Linked DNA regions of Caenorhabditis elegans. The protein of the gene in region 4 interacts with the protein of the main gene of each other region in a pairwise test. Each region holds a gene or a part of one and is shown on either strand. Other genes may lie near its edges.

Region 1 (4,719 bases), 8.6 Mb from region 4:
GGCACATAACCAGTCTGTCCGGTTCGTTGGTGTCGAACATACCACCAATCACAATTCGAATGATCCAATAGGTACATAGCATCGCCTTTTTGAAAGCTAAGATCCCCGTCGGCACGTGAATCGTATGGATAGAGGGCGACCAGAGTCTCACGTTCCTGTGCTCCTCCTCCACCACCACCACCACGTCCATTTCCCATCATTCCGTCTGATGTTCCGTTTAGTTGAGAGATGGTTCCCTCGTTTCCACCGTTATTCACGTGGAATACTGTCTGTTGTTGGGGCGTTTGGAATCTGCGTGGATATCTTTTTGGGTAATGGGGGAAGTGTACGGAAAAAAAATGGAAAAATAATTAAAGGTGGAGTAGCCACTGCAACTTTTTCCTCACGAGGGACGAGGAAAAGTGGTTTCTAGGCCATGGCCGAGGGGCCGACAAGTTTCAGCGGCCATTTATCTTGCTTTGTTTTCCGCCTGTTTTCTTTCGTTTTTCATCGATTTTTTTCGTTTTTTCTTAATAAAACTGATAAATAAATATTTTTTGCAGATGCTAAAACAATTTCCAAGTAAAAAAAATCATGTATTCAGTGGGCAAGCAGCGGTGAAAGTGGTCGATGTAATATGATGGATTACGGGAATACAAAACCTAAACGTTTTCTGAAACATGATACATATGCTGCTTAAATGCTGAGACTACCTGATTTTCATAACGAGACCGCTGAAAAAGTTTAGAGATTTTTAAAATTCAACATTTTGTGCGAAAATCTCTACTTTTTCACCAAAAACAATTGAATTTTGAAAACCTCAAAACTTTTTCAGCGGTCTCGTTATGAAAATCAGGTAATTTAAGCATCTAAGCATCATATGTATCATGTTTCAGAAAAAGTTTAGGTTTTGTATTCCCGTAATCCATCATATTACATCGACTACTTTCACCGCTGCTTGCCCACTGAATACATGATTTTTTTACTTGGAAATTGTTTTAGCATCTGCAAAAAATATTTATTTATCAGTTTTATTAAGAAAAAACGAAAAAAATCGATGAAAAACGAAAGAAAATAGGCGGAAAACAAAGCAAGATAAATGGCCGCTGAAACTTGTCGGCCCCTCGGCCATGGCCTAGAAACCACTTTTCCTTGTCTCTCGTGAGGAAAAAGTTGCAGTGATGGGGTCACAATGTCCGAATACCATGATAAAAAAATTCAAAAAAATTTTATATGATTTTTTGAAAATTAAAAAATGGTAAAAAAAAGATTTTTGCCTAATAATTCCTATTTGAATTTTGAATTACCCCCAATTGGATTTGTTCGGTGGAGCGCCGCGCTTGCACATTTTTTATTTTTATTCATTGTTTTTTTTTTTATATTTTCCACCGATTTTCCATGTTTTCAGTGTATTTTTGTCTGAAATTTGAAGAAAAAGTCGAAATAAATGCTAATTTTTGATTAAAAAGCTACTTCACAAGCGTAAATCTTTGAAATTAATTAATTCAGGTTTCGAAATCGTCGTTTAAATGCTTTTTAATCGAACATTTGCATTTATTTTGACTTTTTCTTCAAATTTCAGACAAAAATACACTGAAAACATTGAAAATCGGTGGAAAATATAAAAAAATAACAATAAATAAAAATAAAAGCGTGCAAGCGCGCTCCACCGAACAAATCTAGGCAAAACAAAAAATTAGGCAAAACTGAGATTTTTTCAATTTTCAAAAAATCATATAAAATTTAGAAATTTTTTTTTGAATTTTTTAACCATGATATTCGGTCATTGTGGTATCATAGGCATGTTTAAAAGCAATTTCCCCACTGGCGCTACTCCACCTTTAAAAAAAATATAATACGCGAATTGACGCGTTGTTAGTGCATTTTTAGGTGGGCAAACAATCAAATTTTTTTTATAGAAAAGGAAGTACATATATGAACATTCTCATGTGCATTAAAATTGAAATATTGAATGTTTAAAATTATTTAGTGCTCACTTTTTCCGAAAAAAAATATATATAAATAGAATAATCTCAGAAGAAAAACTATGGCATCATTTTTGCCCAAATAGATGTCTTTAAATGTTTTTAAAAAAAAAGATATATATATATATATATATATATAATTTTTTAAAGACATCGTTGGCATCTAATTGGGCAAAAATGATGCCATAGTTTTTCTTCTGAGATTATTCTATTTATATATTTTTTTTTTCGGAAAAAGTGAGCACTAAATAATTTTAAACATTCAATATTTCAATTTTAATGCACATGTTCATCTTAATACTATTTTCATTTTTAGGCTTAGAAAACAACATTGGCCTAAAAATAGCCTAAAAATAAAGCAAACTTTCTATAAAAAAAGACGGGACAGAGAAAATGATACATTTTTAAATTCTATACATTTTTTCCAAAAAAATACACTCGAAATTGTAAAAGAGTTCAGTCTCGATTAAAAAATTCCAGAAAAAAAAATTTCTAATAAAAACATTTACTACAGTAGGGATCTCGTTTTTTTTTTCAAAATTCTTTGGAACTCAGTAATGTCAAATTGCCGGAATTTGTTGGGATCGGGCACTTACTTGCTGAGAAAATGCCGAAAATCTAACAACTGTTGATCACTGCCGAATTATCGAAATGTGAAACGGGCAAATTTTCGGAATTGAAAAGTTCCGGCAAAACGGGGGATTTCCGCTCACCACCATGTAAATGCATAAAATATCATGCTTTATGTAGATTTAGAATAGCTAAATTTCCTATTTTAATTGAAAAGTCAATAATTTATGATTTTTTATCGAAAAATCAATGATTTCTAATTTTTAACTAAAAATCAATAATTTCAAATTTTTACCAAAAATTAAACCAAACCGGAAAATCGGTTTTTTTTCAAATCTGTATTTAATTTTTGCACTTTTTATCTAAAAAAAAAGTTGATTGTCTCCAAAAAAATAATACATTTCTCTATAAAATAGTTACCTGGAGACATCTATCCGTTCGGAAACACCCATATCACTGCCTCCCGATCGCCGCTCTTTTGAAAACAGGCAACCCATTATTTATTCTGAAAAAAAATTATTTCAGGAAAATGTTACTGGGGTTGCCTCGTTCGTTCGGCAAATCAGCAAATTGCCGGTTTGCCGGAAATTTTCATTTTCGGCAATTTGCCGGTTTGTCGAAAAATTGTTTGTGAATTTTTTCGTTTTTTTTTTTTAAATTTTTTTAACTGAAAAATCTCTGTCAATTTAATTTTTTTTTGACATTTCCACAACTGGAAAACTGCAAAAAAAGACTGTACAAGCAGAATTTTCAAACAAATTTCAAAAAATTTGTTAATTTTAATATATATTAAAATTTACAATTTGCAAATATCACGTGGTGCCAGCCTGTCCCATCACGGTTTGATCTACAAAAAATGCGGCAATTTTTTGCCCAAAAAATGTGACGTCAGGACGGTCTTAACCATACAAAATCAGATGAGAAGTCAGCGTCCCGTTTTCCCGCATTTTTTGTAGATCAACGTAGATCAAGCCGAAATGTGACACTCTGACACCATGTGAAATACTTGAATCGTCGCGAAATTCAAAAATTGTCAGGTTTTGTAATTTTCAGTGAAAATTTTCTGAATTTTCCAAAAAAACTCACACAAGACACCAGTATTTTTGTGCAAACAACAATTATTGAGCATGCATATGGAATGGTTGCTTCTTCTTCTTATTTTCGAGGTTTTTTTTCTGAAAATGAGGAAATTTTGGCGGGAATTTGATTTTAAAAAAACGAGATTTTAGAGGAAAAAGTGAAAATGGAGGGGTAGTAAATATGTTTTAAATAAACTCTGACGCTTGGAATTTATTCAGAAAAAACGCGAAAATTATCAATTTTTTGAAGAAATTTACAATATTTTCCCAACAGAATCAGTATTTTTGTATTTAAAGGTGGTGTAGTTGAATTTTTTTTTAAATTTCTTTAATATACTCAAAATTGTCTGAAAACATCGAATTTCATAATGAAACTTCTTGAAAACTTCTCCAAATACCGTATTTCCTCTATTAGTTTTGCACCCCCTCAATTTGTTCCCTATGTTTAGGAATTCAAAATTTGCATAATAAAATCGTTCTAAAAATTAGGAAAACTCTTACAGACTTGGTATGACAAGTCAAAATTGACAAAATATGAGTACAATTCGGACAATTTTTGCGTATCAGTCGTAAAATTCGTAAATTTTCGATCATAAGTTGTTATTGAAATTGATCATAACTTAATGGAAAACATGAGAAAAAACCTGTTCGAAAATTAGTTTTGCATCAAATTAGGTGTCCGAAAATTAGTTTTGCATGCCTTACTAATAGAGGAAATACGGTAAAAGTTATGGCGGCTCAAAAAATGGCCTAAGATAAGTTAAATTTTGAAATTTGACCGACTTGTCAAGCGGCTGGAAATTAACTTTTTTGAATTCACCGTCAAATTTTGAGTATACAATGTAATTATCCTGCGTTTTCAACTTCATTTAGGTATTATAAAGTCGATGGACGGCGAAATTTGGATAAAAAATTTAAAAAAATGTCGGCCATTTTTTGAGCCGCCATAACTTTTACCGTATTTCCTCTATTAGTAAGGCATGCAAAACTAATTTTCGGACACCTAATTTGATGCAAAACTAATTTTCGAACAGGTTTTTTCTCATGTTTTCCATTAAGTTATGATCAATTTCAATAACAACTTATGATCGAAAATTTACGAATTT
Region 2 (7,609 bases), 9.6 Mb from region 4:
CGCATTTGTTGTACAGTTTTTTTTATTTAAAAAATCATTGCCGGAAAATGGCAAAACAAATTCAAAATTTCATCGTTTTTTTCAGTAATTTAAATTTTTTGGTGGCGGTTTTGTTTTGTACGCTGGAGCGCATTTGCAACACGGTTTTTTTTTTCAAATTTCGAAATTTCTAGTCGTAAAATGGAAAAAAAAATGAATTTTTAGAAAGTTTTTAAAAAATCATTTTAAAGTTAATTTTCGCTGCGGGACCCAAGAACACTTTACGAAAAAATCAAGAAAAAAGCAAGAGCTCCCCGAATCTGATAAAAGCTAAAACGTGGAGCAATAAGAAAAATCGAAAGTCCGAAATAAAACGAATGAGGCTATCCATCCTCTCCGCTGGTGCAGAGAGAGAGGAGAGACGCAGACAGCCGAGACATGAGTGACCAAAGGGTCCCGTCCTTCTCCTGCAGGGTTCAAAATATTGATCTTCTGCTCTCCGTGTGTTCCGCATGGAAATTCTGAAAGTTAAGAAAACCTAAAACAACAAAAAAGGCTCAAAATTTAAAAAATTAAATTCATTACAACCAAATCGAGGAATTGTGTTTTTTTTTGTTTTCAAAAAAAAAAGTAGAAATTGTTCTAATCGGGGGGTGACGGATTGGTTGGGGGGATGCATTTGAATTAATAATCGAGAGCTGCTTCCGTGAAAAAAACTGGAACTAAGAATGACAAGGACCAAGTAAGAATAAGGCGCAGATTGGGTGGTGGTGGTTGAAATGGTTGAGAAGAAGAAAAGCAATGAAGCAATGGACACAAAAAAAATATTTGAAAAGTGGTGGAATTGTTTTTTTGTTGTTGGAATTAAACGGGAAATTTGGAAATTAAATCCAAAAAAACTAGATGCTTTGTCTATATTCTAAATATAGGTACATACCCAGAAGGAAAGGAAAGAGAGAGAGAGAACCTAAGCAAGTGGTATCACAACACGAAAATTATCACACAAATTCGAAAAAAAGAAACATTAATTGATGGAGAGAAAAAAAAGGAAAATCAATGGGGTGTGGGTGAGAAGAAATATGAGGGTTATACAATAATTAGGCGGCCAGCAAAACCAAAAAAAAACAACGGGAGACTACTCGTTTCCAAATCCTTCCGTCATCTCGATCGCCATGCTCAACTTCTCGACGAGCTGATCGTAGCTTCTGTATGGCGGCAAGTCGAGTCGATTGAAGCACGTATGCGACCGTGGGAGCCAGTTCTCCTTGCCGACACGCTCGATACAGAATAGTTGTGGTCCCGTCGAGCCCATCAGCTCGGAAAATCCACCGACTGGCACACGGCACGTTCCTGTGACGAATTGTAGGAGCCGGGCACGTTTTTCTTGGTCCAGACTTCGAACCCATTGCCAGAACCAGGTTACCTATAAATGTATTTTTTAATTAAAAAAAAAGAAGTTTTAATCAAATGTTCTCCCCTACCTGCTTGCTCTGTGGAGCATAATGTCTGTAGACAGTATTTCTCTGCCAATCGTCCACATCAACGTCCTGCATTCCGCAGAGCAACAGCTCGAGCTCTCTTTCATCGAAATACTGCATCCATTCCAACGGGAAGACCGAGTTGAAGCCGGTGAAGAAGGCTTTTGTCTGTTGTTCGACACCGCGATTGAAGCGCCACTCAACGAGCAGTTCGATGTATTCAAGCTGGAAAATTGGGATTTTTTAAATTAAATTATTTTATTTAAAAATTATTTTTATAAGCTCTAGCTAATCCAAAATCTCACCTTATTCTCCTCGGTAACAGCAATCTCTGTACCGCCCTCCTTAAGCTCATAAGTCTTGAGCTCGCCGAGCAGCTCGTAATCGGCAACAAAATAGAGCTCCATATCGCATTCATCGATATTGTTATCCTTGATCCACATCAATGAATTATAAATTTCCGAATCGACTTGTTCAATGTCCTTTAAAACAATCTTCTTGTTGAGCATCTTTTTGTAGAATGGCATCGTGAAACCGCTGTAGATGAATTTCCCGTGGAATAGCGCCTGGAAATTTGAAAATAAAGGAATTTTCTAAGAAAAACTATTTGTTTAAATAAAAATAACATTTTTAGGAGAAAATGAAATATATTGATCTGAAAATTTGAGATCATCGAAATTTCCAGGTTTTTTGAGCTGAAAATAAAAAAAATCGATATTTAAGGATTTCCTTCATCAAAAAACAAAAATTTTAGATCCAAGTGCTTTTTTTTGGAATTTTCTGCAAAATTTAACGTTTAAAATTTTAAAATTCAATTGTAAAAAGCGGAAAACTCGATTTTCTCTCGATTTCGCAATTTTTCATCCAATTTTCAACTGATTTTCAATTAAAAAAAAACACTCACCATGGCAATGAATCGTCCAATATACTCGAAATACTTAAGATGATCCGGGTTAACAAATGAAGCTGGATTGATTTGAAGACTATAATTGTTATTACCAGCATACATGAATAGGCAATACATTGGATTCAACACTTCGTGCGACAGCAGGAAGAACCATTCTCTGGCGACACCTCCATAGTCGAGACCCTCTTCGCCTCGGAATTGAATGTACAGCCGCCGGCGTAGATCGACTGCATTTTTACGCATAATTTCTTGGAATGAGTCTTCGAACACGTTATTACGGGATACTGTGATTTTGACATGATTAGGCACACTGTTTGACTGAAATTTACATCAATTTATAGCTAAAATCAAAGAATTTCTCGCCCTCCCTTACCAAGCATAAATATCTGAATTGTGCAATTTTCCACCGGAAACTCTTCTCCATGGCCATTTGAACACCGACGACGCCGAGCGGGCCGACGGGTTTTCCGGTTCTTGGATCATTATAGGTGGTGGTTTTAGACTGGTGATCGATGAAGAATGGAACGCCTTGCTCGGTGAATCGCATTTCCCAACCATCCGGAAGAGGTTGGTCGGAGCCTCTGAAACTTTTAAAACATTAAAACTGTGATTTTTGATAGAAATATTATTGGAAAATTGAAAATTTTCACATACCCCTGTGTTCTCGGATCTTCCCATTGTGTCGTTCTATTTACATGATTCACAAAGTACATTCTCGACGTATTCGGATCCTGACGCTTCTCCCATCCTTCGGGCAATGGTCCGAGTGGATCGTCGGCGCTAAAGTTGTTCTGCTGGAGAAGGAAACGTTGTTCCCATTGAAGCATCGCCTGATCTCTTCCCGATTGCCATTGTTCGTGTGCTTCAAGCATATCGGCTGTCGGTCGTTGCCAGGTGGTCGTGCGCGTGTTGTGATCCACGTAATACACCTGAAAATGGATTGTGCACCTGGCGTGAATTTTTAGACATTTTTCAAGTAAAAATCACTGGAAAGTTTTTTTTTTTTCGATTATCAAATAATTGGAGACCTTGGTTAAAATAAAGAAAATCAGAATTTTTTATCCGTCGTTATAATTTCCTAATTTTCAGGCCGTATTTAAAGAAAAAATTTCAAAATTTTCTCGAAAAAAAAAATTATGGAGGATCAAAATTACGAAAAATTGCCTGAATTCAGCAAAAATCTTCAATTTTGTCAGTTTTTCTGTGTTGGAAGTTGATTTTTACTTTATTTTTGGCCTATTTCGATGCAATTACAAAAATTTGACAAGAAATCAACAAAAATAAGACACTAATTATGTAAAAATCAAGATTTTAGCCTTAAAATAATTTATCAGGTCACTTTTTTCGGCATTTTGGTCCAGGTATCCGCGGCTACGGTAGATATTTTTAATTTTGATGATTTTCGCATCAAAAATATAATCAGAAACGCTTTTCTCGTGCTAAATCTGCTTTTTCCGCCGGAAAACTCACTCTTCCTCTCGGATCTCTTCGCATTTCCCATCCCTGTGGCAATGGCTGAGTAGACGGGCGTTCCCACGTGGTGCTCTTGGTGGTGTGATCCACGTAGTACTTGCGTCCGTATTGATCGAAACGCATCTCCCATCCATCGGGAAGCTGTTCTTCTGCTCCGGCGGCCGGGGTGCCGCCTGCTGTTGCTGCTGCTGCCGCCGCTGCGGTACTCTGCAAATGAAAAGTAAACATTAAGAGTAGTAGAGTAATGCATGTATTTGACAACATTTTGTGTATGATTCTGTAGCATTAAAAATGCAGAGAAAAGAATAAAAAACGCTCATTCACGCTCTCCTCTAGTGTTCATAATTATTAGAGCGCGCTCGCGCGGCACCTCACGAACTCCAGAATTCGCGGGATTTCGTTTCGCGGGGACAGCAGTTTTTGGCTATTTTTGGCTTCTATGGAAATTATTTTTAACGAAAACTGAAGGTTTACAGAGAGGAGTCACCACGACTTTCTTTAAAATGTATCAGTACCGTCAGTTTTTTCGATTTCAGAGTCGTAAAATATGTCATTTTGTAGAGAAAAGTCTGTTTCAAAAAAATCCATGTTTGAAATTATGAAATTGTTCTTATTAAAAACTGAACGATTGAAAAATTCGATTTTAACGTAAACTTGTTGATTTTTTGAATATTTTTATATTAGAAATTAAACAATTAAAATATCAAACATGGATTTTTGTGAAACAGACGTTTCTCTACAAAATGACATATTTTACGACTCTGAAATCGAAATACTGACGGTACTGATACTTTTTAAAGAAAGCCGTGGTGACTCCTCTCTGTAAAACCTTCAGTTTTCGGTCAAATTTCATAATTTTACACATTTTCAATTTGGATGATGCTTCTCAACAATATTTTAAATCAAAAAATTAAAAATAATTTCCATAGAAGCCAAAATAGCCAAAAACTGCTGTCCTCGCGAATTCTGGAGTTCGTGAGGTGCCGCGCGAGCGCGCTCTAATAATTATGAACACTCCAGTAGAGCGTTTCATGAATAATTAAATAATTCAAAATGGGTCTCGTCACGATTACCGTTGGAGCCGCCAAAGTGTCACGCTTCGCTGTCGCCGGTCTCCGCGCCGAGGATGACGTGGCAACGCCATTTGACGTGGATGCCTCTGAACTTGCAGACGCGGCGGTTTCAGCTCGTACTCCTGCGCTTCTTCGTTTCCGCTCTGGATATCCGGAGAAAATTATGTTGAGAGTTCCGATTTTCGAGGAGTCTTTGGCCAGCAAAGATATATTGTTGATGTCGTTTTTGACTGAAATAATAGATTTTTTGAGAAAATTTCAATAAAACCACTTACACTCTCCATTCTCATTTCTTGTGAGACTCGAAAGCTTCAGCTTCGCCATCCCTAGACACGTGTCATCGAATAGCTTGGCTTTTTGCAATAGACGAAACGAAATTGTCGAAGATTCATTTGCATGAACGTTGAGATGTTCATTCCACTCGGGCGCCATCGTCTTCTTCTTTACAGTCGTCTTTTTTGGCGCCGCCGATGACGTGTCACTCGTGATTTCGACATAGCAGTCGGCTGCCTTGGTGAACGACGCGTTGACGACTATGATTAAGAGGGGGAAATATTATTAGAACAGATGCAAAAAATCTACGAATTGTTACCTTTTACTGTGACTTTTGATGGTTTTGCCGACCCGTTTTGTTGTGCTGGAGTTCCATTACTCCCGGAACTACTCGGCTGCTGAGATGATGGTTCATTACGAGCCATTCGATCATGAAACTGGCTGAAAATTTCGCAATTCCAGAAAAGATTTAGAAATGAAAAGTCGGCGAGAAAGGAAAAATAAATCCACGTATCACAAATGACAGCGAAACGGTGGGAATGAAGATGTTAAGTACTACTAGTCAGTATTATCGATCGATTTCCAACTGATAACACTGGAAACCATGTGAAAAAATCTATAACAGCTCGCAGTAACTTGCCATTGGCTGCTGGTCGATGCGTTTTGTCATATGACCTGCACATCTAACGCCGTTTCGCCCGCGCATTCAAACGTGTTTGTTGGGGCGCGCTTGCTATTCAATAGCATTTTTCACATACACACAATTGGTATTTGCTGTTGATATAAACTGGAATGTCATGATAAAGTGATAGCAGGTGAAATGAATCACAGTCATACGAGTAAAGAATTGGAAGAAGTGAAAGTTCTCGATCAATAGAGGGGTGTTTTACACAAACAGTGATTTAATTGTTCTTTTCTGTAAAAGGTAGGTCAATTCGAAGATGCAATTGTTTTTTAAACATAACAAAAAAGTTAAAAAAGACTGATAAACGTTTACTTGGAACGGAAAACGGGATAAGCAAGAGATACAACGATAACAAGAGTATCTGCAAGGTCATCAGGAAACAAGCTACATGGTAAGGCTCATGATGGCATTGACGATGTCATTGTCAGCTTCCTTAAGCGCCCTGATGGCCTTGTTGCGGGTGGTGTTGGCTTGGGAAATGACAAGCTCGATGTCCTTCTCCTCAATGCCGGTGGAATCCTCCTTAAACCGTACAATTAATGTAATAAATCCGATTAAGTTACTGAATTACCTCAACATCCTCATTCTCGTCCTCTTCGACAGTCTTGAGTTGTGGGGCCTCACGAGTTGGCTTCAAGTTCTCAATAGCAGACATCTGGGCGTGTTGGGTGAGATCCTCGATCTTGGCTTCTCCGAAGATGATGTAGGTGTCAGATCCTGGGCTCTTGAACACGTCTGGCTTGTTTATGACGAAGAGGATGTTCTTCGACTTGCGAATGCAGACACGGGAGACACCAGTCACTTGCTTGAGTCCGAGCTTGGAGAAGAGCTTGCGGGCCTTCTTCTCGGAGCGGCTTTGCTTGGCCTGCTTGTCGATGTGATCTCCAAGTCCAGCAGCCTCGGCCACACGTCTTTGCTCCTCGGTGAGCTCTTGCTCGACGGCCTCGTTGTCGGAATCATCCGAAACGTCAACTTGTGGCTGAAATATAGAAATTTAAATATTTTAGACGTCACTTTGAACAACCAACCTCCTTGACTTCCTTCTGGCGAGTTTCGGTGCTTCCGGTCATTGTTTAATGTGGTAACCCTGAAAAAAACGTTTATGAAAGTTTACAAATTTGAGAGAAACAGGAGTTTCAAAGAGAATATTACAAAAAAAAGATGAAAAACTTGTAAATTCAAAATATCCACACATTTTTCTTGGTAGGAAAGCTTTAATCGAGGAAATTCAAGCTAACTTTTGCACAATCTTAGAATATACCCATTACTACTTATTCTAGATTGGATTTTCATGTTTTTGAGGAAAATCTGAGCCAAAATTAAGCCAAAAAAGCAAAAAAATAGTTGAAAAATCGCGCAAAATTGGTGAAACTTCTCGAGAAAAAAAGGGGTGTTTCTCTTTTTGCTATATGACCTGCACATCTAACTTCGACCCGCGACGTTCAAACTGTGCGATGGAGCGTGCTTGCACAAAATTTTTTGCTGGCAAAGTTTTTGCAGCAGCCTTTTCAACAAAATTCCTTGCAAAAAAGTCATGAAACCAGGTTTATTACACCAATAAAACACAAAAATGAGTGTGAAAAAATAGAAAATAAAATATTATTACAGAATGGTGGGTTTGAATTATATTTACAGACGAATTAAAAAAAATAAAATTAGATTCAAGCATAAGAAATTTGAAGTTTATAACGAAAGTCTCTTACGCTTCTTGCTCGAGCACTTATTGTCTTGTCTCAGCCAA
Region 3 (4,543 bases), 2.8 Mb from region 4:
AGTAACCATAAGCTTTCCAATAAGCGCAGCATCCGAATCAACGGCATTCTCGAGCATATCAATGCGACGCTTAGGGATCACAAGAAAATGAATTGGAGCTTGTGGAGAGACATCATGGAATGCGAGAGCCTTAAATAAATATTTTATGTGATCGTTTGCCTGATCTTACATACCTCATCATCTTCAAAAATGATTTTCGCTGGAATCTCTTTTCGAATTATTTTTCCGAAAAGAGTGTCGTTGGCTTGAACATCTTTGTTAATTGCCGCCAAGTGGGCTTTATCTACTTCCGACATGTTTCTCTTTGTAAACCTGAAAAATGGTGGAATCGATAAAGACACCTTGCCTACAGTAACCCTGACCTAACTGGATTACGGTAAGCAAGACGCAAAGCGGTTTTAACCAAAGAGGAAGCCATACTAAAATATTGAAAAATGGGCAAAAAATAACCAATATGCAATATATTTCAAACGATGAAAACGCTAGACAACGAGAAATAAACAATAAACATGTGAAAATAAATGCTTTAATCAGTAAAATGATACAAAAAATAATCAAAAAAGTTAACACAAGAACAAGAATTAATGTACCAGAATACAATTTGAACCCATAACGTGATTTGTCGATTGTGCAGTTTTTACTTTCGAACTGAAATAATAATTTGAATAGAAAACCAAGAATTCTCCTAGGTTTCTTCGAAAACTCGGTTTCCCTCTTACTTACCATTCATGAAATATTGATTAGAAGACAATGGCGGAAGCTCTCGAATATCTCCATTTGTGAACTGTTGATAAGCTTCACCTCCCTTTCCAATATGTAATGAAACATTTCCAATTGGTTTTCGATGAACAACCCACGCGATTAGGTCAAAATCTGCTGATAATTTCGAATTCAAATGATTCAGAAGACGTTCTTTTGGAATTGTGACAAGTACTCCATTTGTTGCTTTCAAATAATAAAAATGATGATCCGAGTTCATCTCTGTGTTGTCATGATATTGCTCCACTACTAGTTCAGGTTTTGAAAGTGCGATTTTTACTTTCATTTCAAGCACTCCTCCGAAGCATCTGACCGAGTTTTTAAAGCAATCAATTTTAAGGAGAGAATCTGGCGTGTCTGGTTTCTTTTTCACTTAAAATTAAAGTTTTTTTAAAACATTGGTAAATTGTAAAATACCTGCAATATGTGTATATGGAATCTTGAAAATGAGCCTATCTTTTGTTTCAATTCTACGAGGCAAGATATCGAAGAATGCCACGTCTCCGAGTTGAGGGGATCTTTCCAATCCTTCACACGATCTTTCTTGAAGCAAAACGTTTATAACGTCTCTTTTGGCTGTGTACAAAATTGCAAAGCCATCGATTTTTTGCACAACGGTGCATAAAGCAGATTGAGGCTGAAATATGGTGATGAAGATTAATATTATTGTTCTGGCATTACGTACTTTTTCGGAATCAGTTTTATCTTGACGAAGCAGTTGAAGCATCGTTGGAGCTAAATCTTTAATAAACGGTCTCATCGGAATATTAGATGTTCCACGTGTTCCGTATGTATCTTCATCATCAATTTCATCTTCATCTGATAACTGATTTGAATCAATAACTGGTGCTGCTCGACTTGAGATTGTAGTCTGGGACAAGGATGAATCAACTTGATTCAATTCGATACTTTGGCTTCGAAAAGTTTCCGGAGGTATTTCCCGATTCTCTGACACAACTCTAGAGGAATTGTACGAATCAGATGTCTGCGAGTTCATTTGAGAATGCACGTCTTCTTGATGTTGACTTGATTGTTGATCTTGTACGTCGGTTTCGGGTGTTTGAACATATCCATTACCAGTCATAATCTAAAAATGTGATTACTTGAAAAATTCTGAACTATAAGTCACATACATCCAACAGTCTTGTATCATGAAGATACTGTACATCAGAATCAACGACTGGATTCGGGAGCTGAAATTATATTATGTAAACTGCAGGAGGTTGTGGCTTATATGTTCTGGGAAATTTTGATAAGCAAAAACCAAAATGTGAACAATTCAAAATGAACCAGGACACTTTTGCCACATACTGATTGATATCCATTTCGGCTTACAGCATCACAGGTGTGTAGCTTTTGTGGATCTTCATGCACACTCAATGCGACCCAACCTGCCAGAGATGCTTGAGCCTGCAATATTTTTATTTTAATAGTTTTTTTTAAAATCGATAACTTACTTCAACAATAAAACTGCGTCCATCATAGTGTTGACATGATGATTTGATCAGACTAAAGTCGTCAATAATATGATCATAGGAAATATCGTAACTGGTGAAATCATACAAATTATTTTTCCGATCTACTATTACATCAAATCGAGCTGTTATCTGAAAAATTATAAAAATCCGTACTCTTTATTTATTAAAACTTTTTCCATTTGAGATTACCAAAATTTCTCCTTCATCGTTAGCCTCATACTTCGGAAAGAATCTCGCCGATGAATTTCTGTGATTCGGCAAAACGTCCCAGTTTTCATATCCACAACTATTTGAGGAATCCAATACGTATTGTCCCACGAAGTTCTGACAAACAGTTAATCTAAAATTGCTAGTTAATAAAATCAGATAAAATAATGTCTAACTTTAGCCAGCGTCCTATCTGCAGGCTCTGAATATTTCCACTGATTTCGACAAATCCATCGATATTTTTGGTATAGAAAAGATAATTTCTGTTTCCATATTTATTGTAACCAACTACCAATCCATATATTTGGGTTTGCGGTTGTTGAATTTGTGGTTGGGGATTATACGACGATGATGGCTGACTTTGAGCATAATAGTGATTTGGAGGAAAATAAGAATGGTACCCATTATGCATCTGAATAGCAAGAAAATGAATATAGTTATAAATCAGAACTGATGTAATTAGCAATGACTTTTAACATAGACGTGAGCACAAATGGTATAAAACAGTTTGAAAGCATTTATTGTAAATGGTTCCCCGAAACAAGAAACTTATTTTTTTCATAGAAAAATTAATGTGATCTTCTCGTTTCGGAGAAACACCAGAGATGAAGAATAGGCAAAAAATAACAAATTAAGAGCAAAAAATATGAGATTCATAGAACAAACTGGATTATTTCTTCTGTGCTTGGGCTGCTGCTTGAGCCATCATCTGGAAGCTTTTTTGCATATTCATCACCTTGTCTCGCTGTTCCGTACACTTCTTCGAAATGTCTGAGATGCTGGCTTCCACTCGTTTGCTGAAAATTGTAATTAAAGTTTTGTTGCATTTTAAAACGTTTAAAGGTAAAATTTATTTGTTATTTTTATTTGTTTCGTGTAAATCAATAGCGTGCAAGAAGTAATACTAAAGAAACATGATAAACGTTACAACTCACGTCTCAGAGTCGATAAACTCAAGCCGTTTCTCCACAGTCGATCGAGCCTCCTCCAAATCTTGACGAACAAGAACCGCTCCGATGAGTTTGTAGACTTTCGAGTCGGATTCCATCAGATCAAGCTCCTGAATGAAGATAACATGAAAACTGAATCTCAAACTTTTTCTTACCGCTTTCACATTTTTACTCTCAGTTAATCTCATTTCCATCTCTTGGCGACTCGTGAAGTACTTTTCGCGGTCTATAATTAAACGATTGAAAAGATTGTTTAAATTAACAGTTACTAACCTTTTTCAAGAGTTCTGAGCTTGTTAACTTCTTCTTCGAATTTAGCCATATCAGCCATTTTGATCGTTTTTAGTGGGAAAAGAAGTGAAAGAAAACAAAATTGTGTTTAAAAATCTAGAAGAAAAACGGGTTCTGCGCCATCCTTCAAAGCGCCAGCAAGCTTTCTTGACGCATTTTCCGTTTTTGGCGGAAGTTCAAAACTGGATTGTATATGTTAACTTCAATTTTGTTATGCTTTTGCTAAAATTTCATTCAATAGTGACAATACGAAATATTTTCAATATAGATATTTCCAGAATCGTGAAAACCAACTTTGCATGGAATCTTGATAATATTCTTCGCGTATCTGAAAGTTTTAGCTTAATTATATACAATAATTAAATAAGTTTCTTGTAAGTTCAGGGTATTTCCCTAGGTTCTATAAACATAAAAATATATTCTTACCTGTTTTGTCTTTTTCAATTCTGACTCTAGTTTTGATAATTGAATTTCAGAAGAACGAAGTCGGTCTCCAGCAGCGTTGAAATGCTGGAAAAAAAATCAATTTTGTTTTAGCCTTGATCCACTTTTTTGAAAGTCTAAAAAAAATTGAATAAAATATTTAATATACACTGTATCCAAATATACTAATAAATCATAAAACAAATCGTAAAACAGAAACCATAAACTCACCGATTTTTCAATTTGTTGTGTTTGAATAAAATCATTTGAATCGGTATATAACTGCACTTTGATTGCATTTCTTGACTCCCGATAATCACTCATCACATTCTCAACTGCTTTTTGTCCAGATTCAGCGTCTTGAAATACTTTCTCGAATATTTCTTGGCGTTTACGAAATTCTTTCTTCTGATTTTCCGTTTTTCTGAAATTGTT
Region 4 (4,969 bases):
GAGAAGTATATGTGTTATTTTTTCGCGCCGCGATTACAGAGTTCTGTTCTGATTTGGAGGAGAGAAATAATCGAACCTGAAAATATTTTGTTGGGAAAACGTTATAATTATTTCCATATAAGAATGACTCGAGCATAGTCGTTCCTGATACTGATCCATTTTTACATTTTTTTTTTAACCCCAACTGACTGTCAACTTGAGAGGTACATATTCAAAATTAAACGAAAATTTTGCCAGACATGACGATTTAAAATTTTCAATTTGAGTTCAAAAATTAACTGCTTCGGGGAGAAGAAAGCCTAGTGATAATTTTGGATTTCTCCCATTTATTCAGTACGTTTGGCAATGTTTTTTGTAAAATGACGATTCCAGGTTTCGGCACGATCGAAATAATTTTAGATGAAGTGAGGGCAGAAGAGCGTGCACCTTTTCGAGGAATGTTATGACTTGATTATTTTTTAGCGCGGTGGAAAGTGAGGAGAAGAGGAAAAATCAAATAAAATTGAAAAAAAAACTGGGAAGTGATTTCTACAGTACCCCTTAAAGGCACACACCCTCTTGTGTGATGTTTGATATGAACGATGTTTCAATCGTGCTGAGACCTTCAAATGTGGATTCATGCATCAAAAACTTGAATATTTTCCCAATGACATTTTTTTTAAAACTAGTCACAATGAAAGTTCAATAAGCTGCCTAATCCATTCTGATGAAAATGTGCTTTCAGTAAATAATACTTATTATGTTCAGAAAATAACTTTTTGAAAAATTACTTCGAAGTATTTCAACCAGAAAACAACAAGTTTTTATAAAACGCTGAAAATTGTTTGATTTTCAGAACTTAAATAAATTTTTTGAAGCGTCAATAACTAGTGTAATAAAAATTAGGATATATGCAGAGATTGAAAATAATGCAGTATTCTGACGCCTAGTTGTTCACAGATCATCTGTGATTTTTAAGTTCGCATAACCCAGTTCAGAGTGGAGAGCAAATGCGGTGGAAAAGAAGATCAAAGCCTATAAATATCATATAATTCCTAATTTTTCTGGTGTTGAAAGGTGATTGGAACATATTTTATACAAATTCAGTTTGGTTATCTCGTTACGAAGTCTACAGTAACTTTGGAAATGCTACCGTAACCTCAGCGTCTATTTTTGACGTTACGGCAGTAATTTACAGTTACTGTAGACTTCGCTACGAGATATTTATTGAGTCAAATATTCTGCACACTTTCATTTTTCGATGTGGTAATTCAAAATAGAGGTTCAACATTACATTCGCTGCAACCCATAAAAGTTACATGCACCTAAAATGTTGTTGTTTAGGATGGATTCGAAAAGTTTGAACTTGATGCCGCTTTTGAGATTGTTATTTTCTCCTTGTTGTGAGGTTCATATGTCGAGTGTATCGCGAGATATTTGTCTGTGATTCAGGAGGAAAAAATAAAAGTTTTTCGCTAGTTTTGAAGTTAAAACTGTTATTCAATTTCGAATCTAGCAAAGAACACGAAAATGCTATATGAATTTTCCGTTTCAAGGTTGATATAATTGTTGTTTTACTTTGAAGTAGTTTGTGATGTTATCCAACTATTAGAATTAACTAAAATCATTTTTCATTTTTTGTGATATAAAATGTTATATGCAGATTTGACGAAACACTGTTCATTTTCAACGTAAATGTTGAAAAGGTTTGGAAGTGTATATTTTCCTTATCAGTATTGAAATTTTTCATCCGGAAAGTCGACATTTTTTAGAGGCCTATTGTACGATCGCTAAAAATGGGAAGAACAAAGGATGAATTAGTTTTTCGATACCGAATAGTTTCCAATCTACCAAAATTTTAAAATACTATTGTTAACAATTGTTGAACAGTACTGAATGCCAATAGGCATTCATTTCTGACAATCAAAAAACTGGGTCTGTTTCTGAAAAATCGTATCCACAATGTTCAATTTTCAGCATTTCGCGTGATTACAAAAGCTACAAATACAGTTTTAAAAAAGATTGCTGTTTTCTCGTTCACCGAAAAAGGTCAGCCACAAAATACCCCTTACAATCTTTCATGATTAACAGCAAGCCAGAAAATTGTCAATCTAAATTTGTTTTATTAAATCCATTTAACTATTCTCTTGTGTTCTGTGGAAAATGTTTTCTTTTTCAGAAACCGGCATATAGTCCGAAAAAGTGCATTACTCCATTATCTGCTTTTTGATGAAAATTCGGATTTTCAACTTTAGTATGTACTTCTTCTGTTGGAATTAGTGTACCCTGTTTAACTGTATTTTAGATACATATGGAGAGATGTTATGTGTGACGACAATGATCAGCAATCAGAATCGGAGTCATTCCCGCTGCGTCCGCGTGGTTTAAATTATTTTCCTAATATTCCATTACACAAATTTAATAATAACCAGGAAAGTTCAGAGTCGGAAATAATAATGTCCATCATATAGCTAAATTAAACACAAAACATTTTTAAATGTTCTTCGCTTAATTGGCAACACTTTTCTGCTATTAAGAGCGTTCAAAAAACTAGGTGGCCGCTTTGCATTCACTAGAGAAACATATAACACGTGCAAGCACAGAAATATTTTGATTATTGTAAGACCAGACTGCAATCTTAAGCGTATATCATACACTGGTTCACTAACAAAACAACTATATACTTGTAGAAGAAACTATACAGAGTGGATCAGTTCAGGAAGACGTGGATCGATTTTCTGAATACCCCAACACAAACCTCAGCCCCGTGAATCATCAACCGATCTTTTGTCATTGCAAGCCTCGCATCATCATCGGAAGAAAATCCGACGAAAACTTCTCCCTCGTCTCCGCCAATAATATGCACAGCCCCATCAGGAATTTTCAAACCGGTGAAAAATGTACGGACATCCGAAGCGCCTGCCGTCATCGGCAAATTTTTCAGACGGATTATCACCGACATCCTCGTCAAAAAATGGAGGATATATCAAACTCCTAACTTTAATTAGTTCGCTTCAAATCTGGAATGAAATATCAGCATGAGACAATGAACTAAATTGCAGAAATATAGAATGACAATAAAATTCAGAGAGACGACGGCAGGTGACCATTTTTTGCATATTTTCACCTTGAAAATAGATATACCTTCAGAAACAAATCTTTAGAAAACAAAAAACCTAACTGAAACTATTAAAAATTCGCTGAAAACGTGTAAAAACCGAAAATATTGACTAACGAGAGCAAAAATCGACAAGAAAAAAAGCTGCTACGCAAAGCGTTGCGTGCGCGTCGCGTGTCAGTAAATTCGCTCCACTGCGAATTTAAAAACAGAAAATGGCAAATTATGCAATTAATTGCAATTTTTAATGGATTTTTCAGGTGGAAATCTAAATGAAATGAACGATGAAATTATTGCGATCACTCAATTATGGAACTCTATGCAAACTATCGACTTCAGCGCAATCCTTGAAAAAATCTTCCCGACTTCTCAAAAAGCAACCGAAGAATAAGATCTCTCTGACACCAAAATTTTTGGACAATGTTAGAGAATGGCCGAAGATCTTTGAAGCAGAAATCGAAGCGCAATTTGAAAAAGTAAAAATCTGAATCGGGATCAAAAATATATTATATTTTCAGCTTGATGAGATGATCCGGAACAAAGTAGGATGGAGAGTGATCGAAGAACGTGGGCTCTGCGTTGGGAATCTGATCGTGACTTCAAAATATTACGATTCATATTGTGGAGAGGTAATTACCCTATCTGGTGACGCAATTTTAAGAACGAGATGGCTTAAAGCAGGAACTCCAGTATTGTTGAACAAACTGAATGAAGATGGTCATTTGCAAAAAGTGTCCGATGGGCATGTCGTTGATTGTACTGCTGGAATCGTGAAAGTATGCGCTTACGACGATAAAAATGTGGATTTCTCAACACTCAATTACATTCTCACTCCATCAACAAACAGCGGAGCTCTAAAATTTCTTCAAAGTGTAATTAAGTATGGTGGCTACCGTATACCAGACTTGAAAATATGTATTCAATTTTTCAGGAATCCATCATCATTATCCAGTGATAGTGTCCATTTAGTCAATCTCGCCTATCGATCAATTCCAATGCCCTCTATTCATGGTATTTTCAAAGAAGTTGAATTCTCCTCAATTAAAAGTTTTCAGACAGAAAAATTGGAAATCTTCCGGAAACACTCAATCCAAGTCAGGTAGCAGCAGTTTCAGCAGCAATGAACACACAAAGAAATCTATTATGTATTCAAGGACCACCAGGAACTGGAAAAACTCGTGTGATTGCTGAAATTGTTCATCAACTGATGAAAAAGAAAAAGAAAGTTTTGGTTTGTGCCCCAACACACGTTGCTGTACGGAATGCAATGGATGCAACCACGGGAAGAATGATTGAAGAAATGCCTGAAGAGAAAGCCGAACAGCGTAAGAATTTGTAATTTTTTTTTTCAAATATCTATACTTTCACAAGAATATCCTTGAAAAAGTTAAATTTAACTTCTGTAAAGCCAATATTTAATTGTATGTTGTTTCAGAACTGTGCCTCCTCGCAAACACGAAAGATGAGTTTCAAAACCACAAATCCGCTTCAAAGTTAGAAGAAATCAAAAAGCAACTTGTAAGTGAGTGTTAATCATCCCTATCCTCAATAATTTTAATTTTCAGTCAACAATGAGTACATCCGATCCTCTCTATAAAAAGATGTCATATGAATACTATTTAATTCGAAATTCTATTTTTCGAAGTATCTTCTATCCAAAACTTGCTGTTTTCTCAACATTGGGAACATCTTCAATTCAAAAACTACCGGAGTATCATTGGAATGCAGATGTCATGATTGTTGATGAAGCTGCACAATGTACGGAACCTGCGACTTGGGTGCCAGTATTAACCACACCATCTTGTAAGAAACTCATTCTTGTTGGAGATCAGAAACAGTTGCCTGCCGTTGTTTTATCAGACAAGTGAGTTT

The links.
Region 1: the proteins of rbm-12 (region 4) and src-1 interact in a two-hybrid assay, tested with the Caenorhabditis elegans proteins (one large-scale study listed by BioGRID).
Region 2: the proteins of rbm-12 (region 4) and wwp-1 interact in a two-hybrid assay, tested with the Caenorhabditis elegans proteins (one large-scale study listed by BioGRID).
Region 3: the proteins of rbm-12 (region 4) and rde-2 interact in a two-hybrid assay, tested with the Caenorhabditis elegans proteins (one large-scale study listed by BioGRID).

What each region holds. Positions count from the first base shown.
Region 1 is NC_003279.8:1,565,921-1,570,639, reverse strand, and holds the start of src-1 (Tyrosine protein-kinase src-1), read right to left. Parts: upstream 3,032-4,719; coding exon 2,955-3,031; intron 304-2,954; coding exon 1-303. UniProt on the Caenorhabditis elegans protein: Non-receptor tyrosine-protein kinase which plays a role in endoderm development by controlling spindle orientation in EMS blastomere, probably downstream of receptor mes-1.
Region 2 is NC_003279.8:535,137-542,745, reverse strand, and holds wwp-1 (E3 ubiquitin-protein ligase wwp-1), read right to left. Parts: upstream 5,625-7,609; 5' UTR 5,609-5,624; coding exon 5,503-5,608; intron 5,444-5,502; coding exon 5,186-5,443; intron 5,141-5,185; coding exon 4,911-5,140; intron 4,045-4,910; coding exon 3,835-4,044; intron 3,661-3,834; exon of another isoform or gene 3,504-3,660; intron 3,294-3,503; coding exon 3,019-3,293; intron 2,952-3,018; coding exon 2,738-2,951; intron 2,683-2,737; coding exon 2,362-2,682; intron 2,024-2,361; coding exon 1,763-2,023; intron 1,683-1,762; coding exon 1,461-1,682; intron 1,403-1,460; coding exon 1,115-1,402; 3' UTR 548-1,114; downstream 1-547. Other genes in the region: icd-2 (Nascent polypeptide-associated complex subunit alpha), read right to left, coding at 6,253-6,390, 6,440-6,847, 6,897-6,938; psf-3 (DNA replication complex GINS protein PSF3), read right to left, coding at 7,552-7,609. UniProt on the Caenorhabditis elegans protein: E3 ubiquitin-protein ligase which accepts ubiquitin from an E2 ubiquitin-conjugating enzyme in the form of a thioester and then directly transfers the ubiquitin to targeted substrates. Ubiquitinates klf-1.
Region 3 is NC_003279.8:7,280,016-7,284,558, forward strand, and holds rde-2 (SH2 domain-containing protein), read right to left. Parts: upstream 2,857-4,543; coding exon 2,621-2,856; intron 2,578-2,620; coding exon 2,427-2,577; intron 2,367-2,426; coding exon 2,217-2,366; intron 2,170-2,216; coding exon 2,071-2,169; intron 1,953-2,070; coding exon 1,893-1,952; intron 1,847-1,892; coding exon 1,445-1,846; intron 1,397-1,444; coding exon 1,177-1,396; intron 1,132-1,176; coding exon 724-1,131; intron 649-723; coding exon 638-648; 3' UTR 509-637; downstream 1-508. Other genes in the region: hint-1 (Histidine triad nucleotide-binding protein 1), read right to left, coding at 1-129, 174-296; pfd-6 (putative prefoldin subunit 6), read right to left, coding at 3,115-3,241, 3,380-3,504, 3,550-3,620, 3,668-3,725; F21C3.6 (DUF4200 domain-containing protein), read right to left, coding at 3,945-4,013, 4,112-4,195, 4,340-4,532.
Region 4 is NC_003279.8:10,120,491-10,125,459, reverse strand, and holds the start of rbm-12 (RRM domain-containing protein), read right to left. Parts: upstream 3,002-4,969; 5' UTR 2,942-3,001; coding exon 2,738-2,941; intron 77-2,737; coding exon 1-76. Other genes in the region: Y106G6D.5 (Helicase ATP-binding domain-containing protein), read left to right, coding at 3,382-3,573, 3,616-3,977, 4,029-4,108, 4,153-4,422, 4,533-4,615, 4,663-4,961.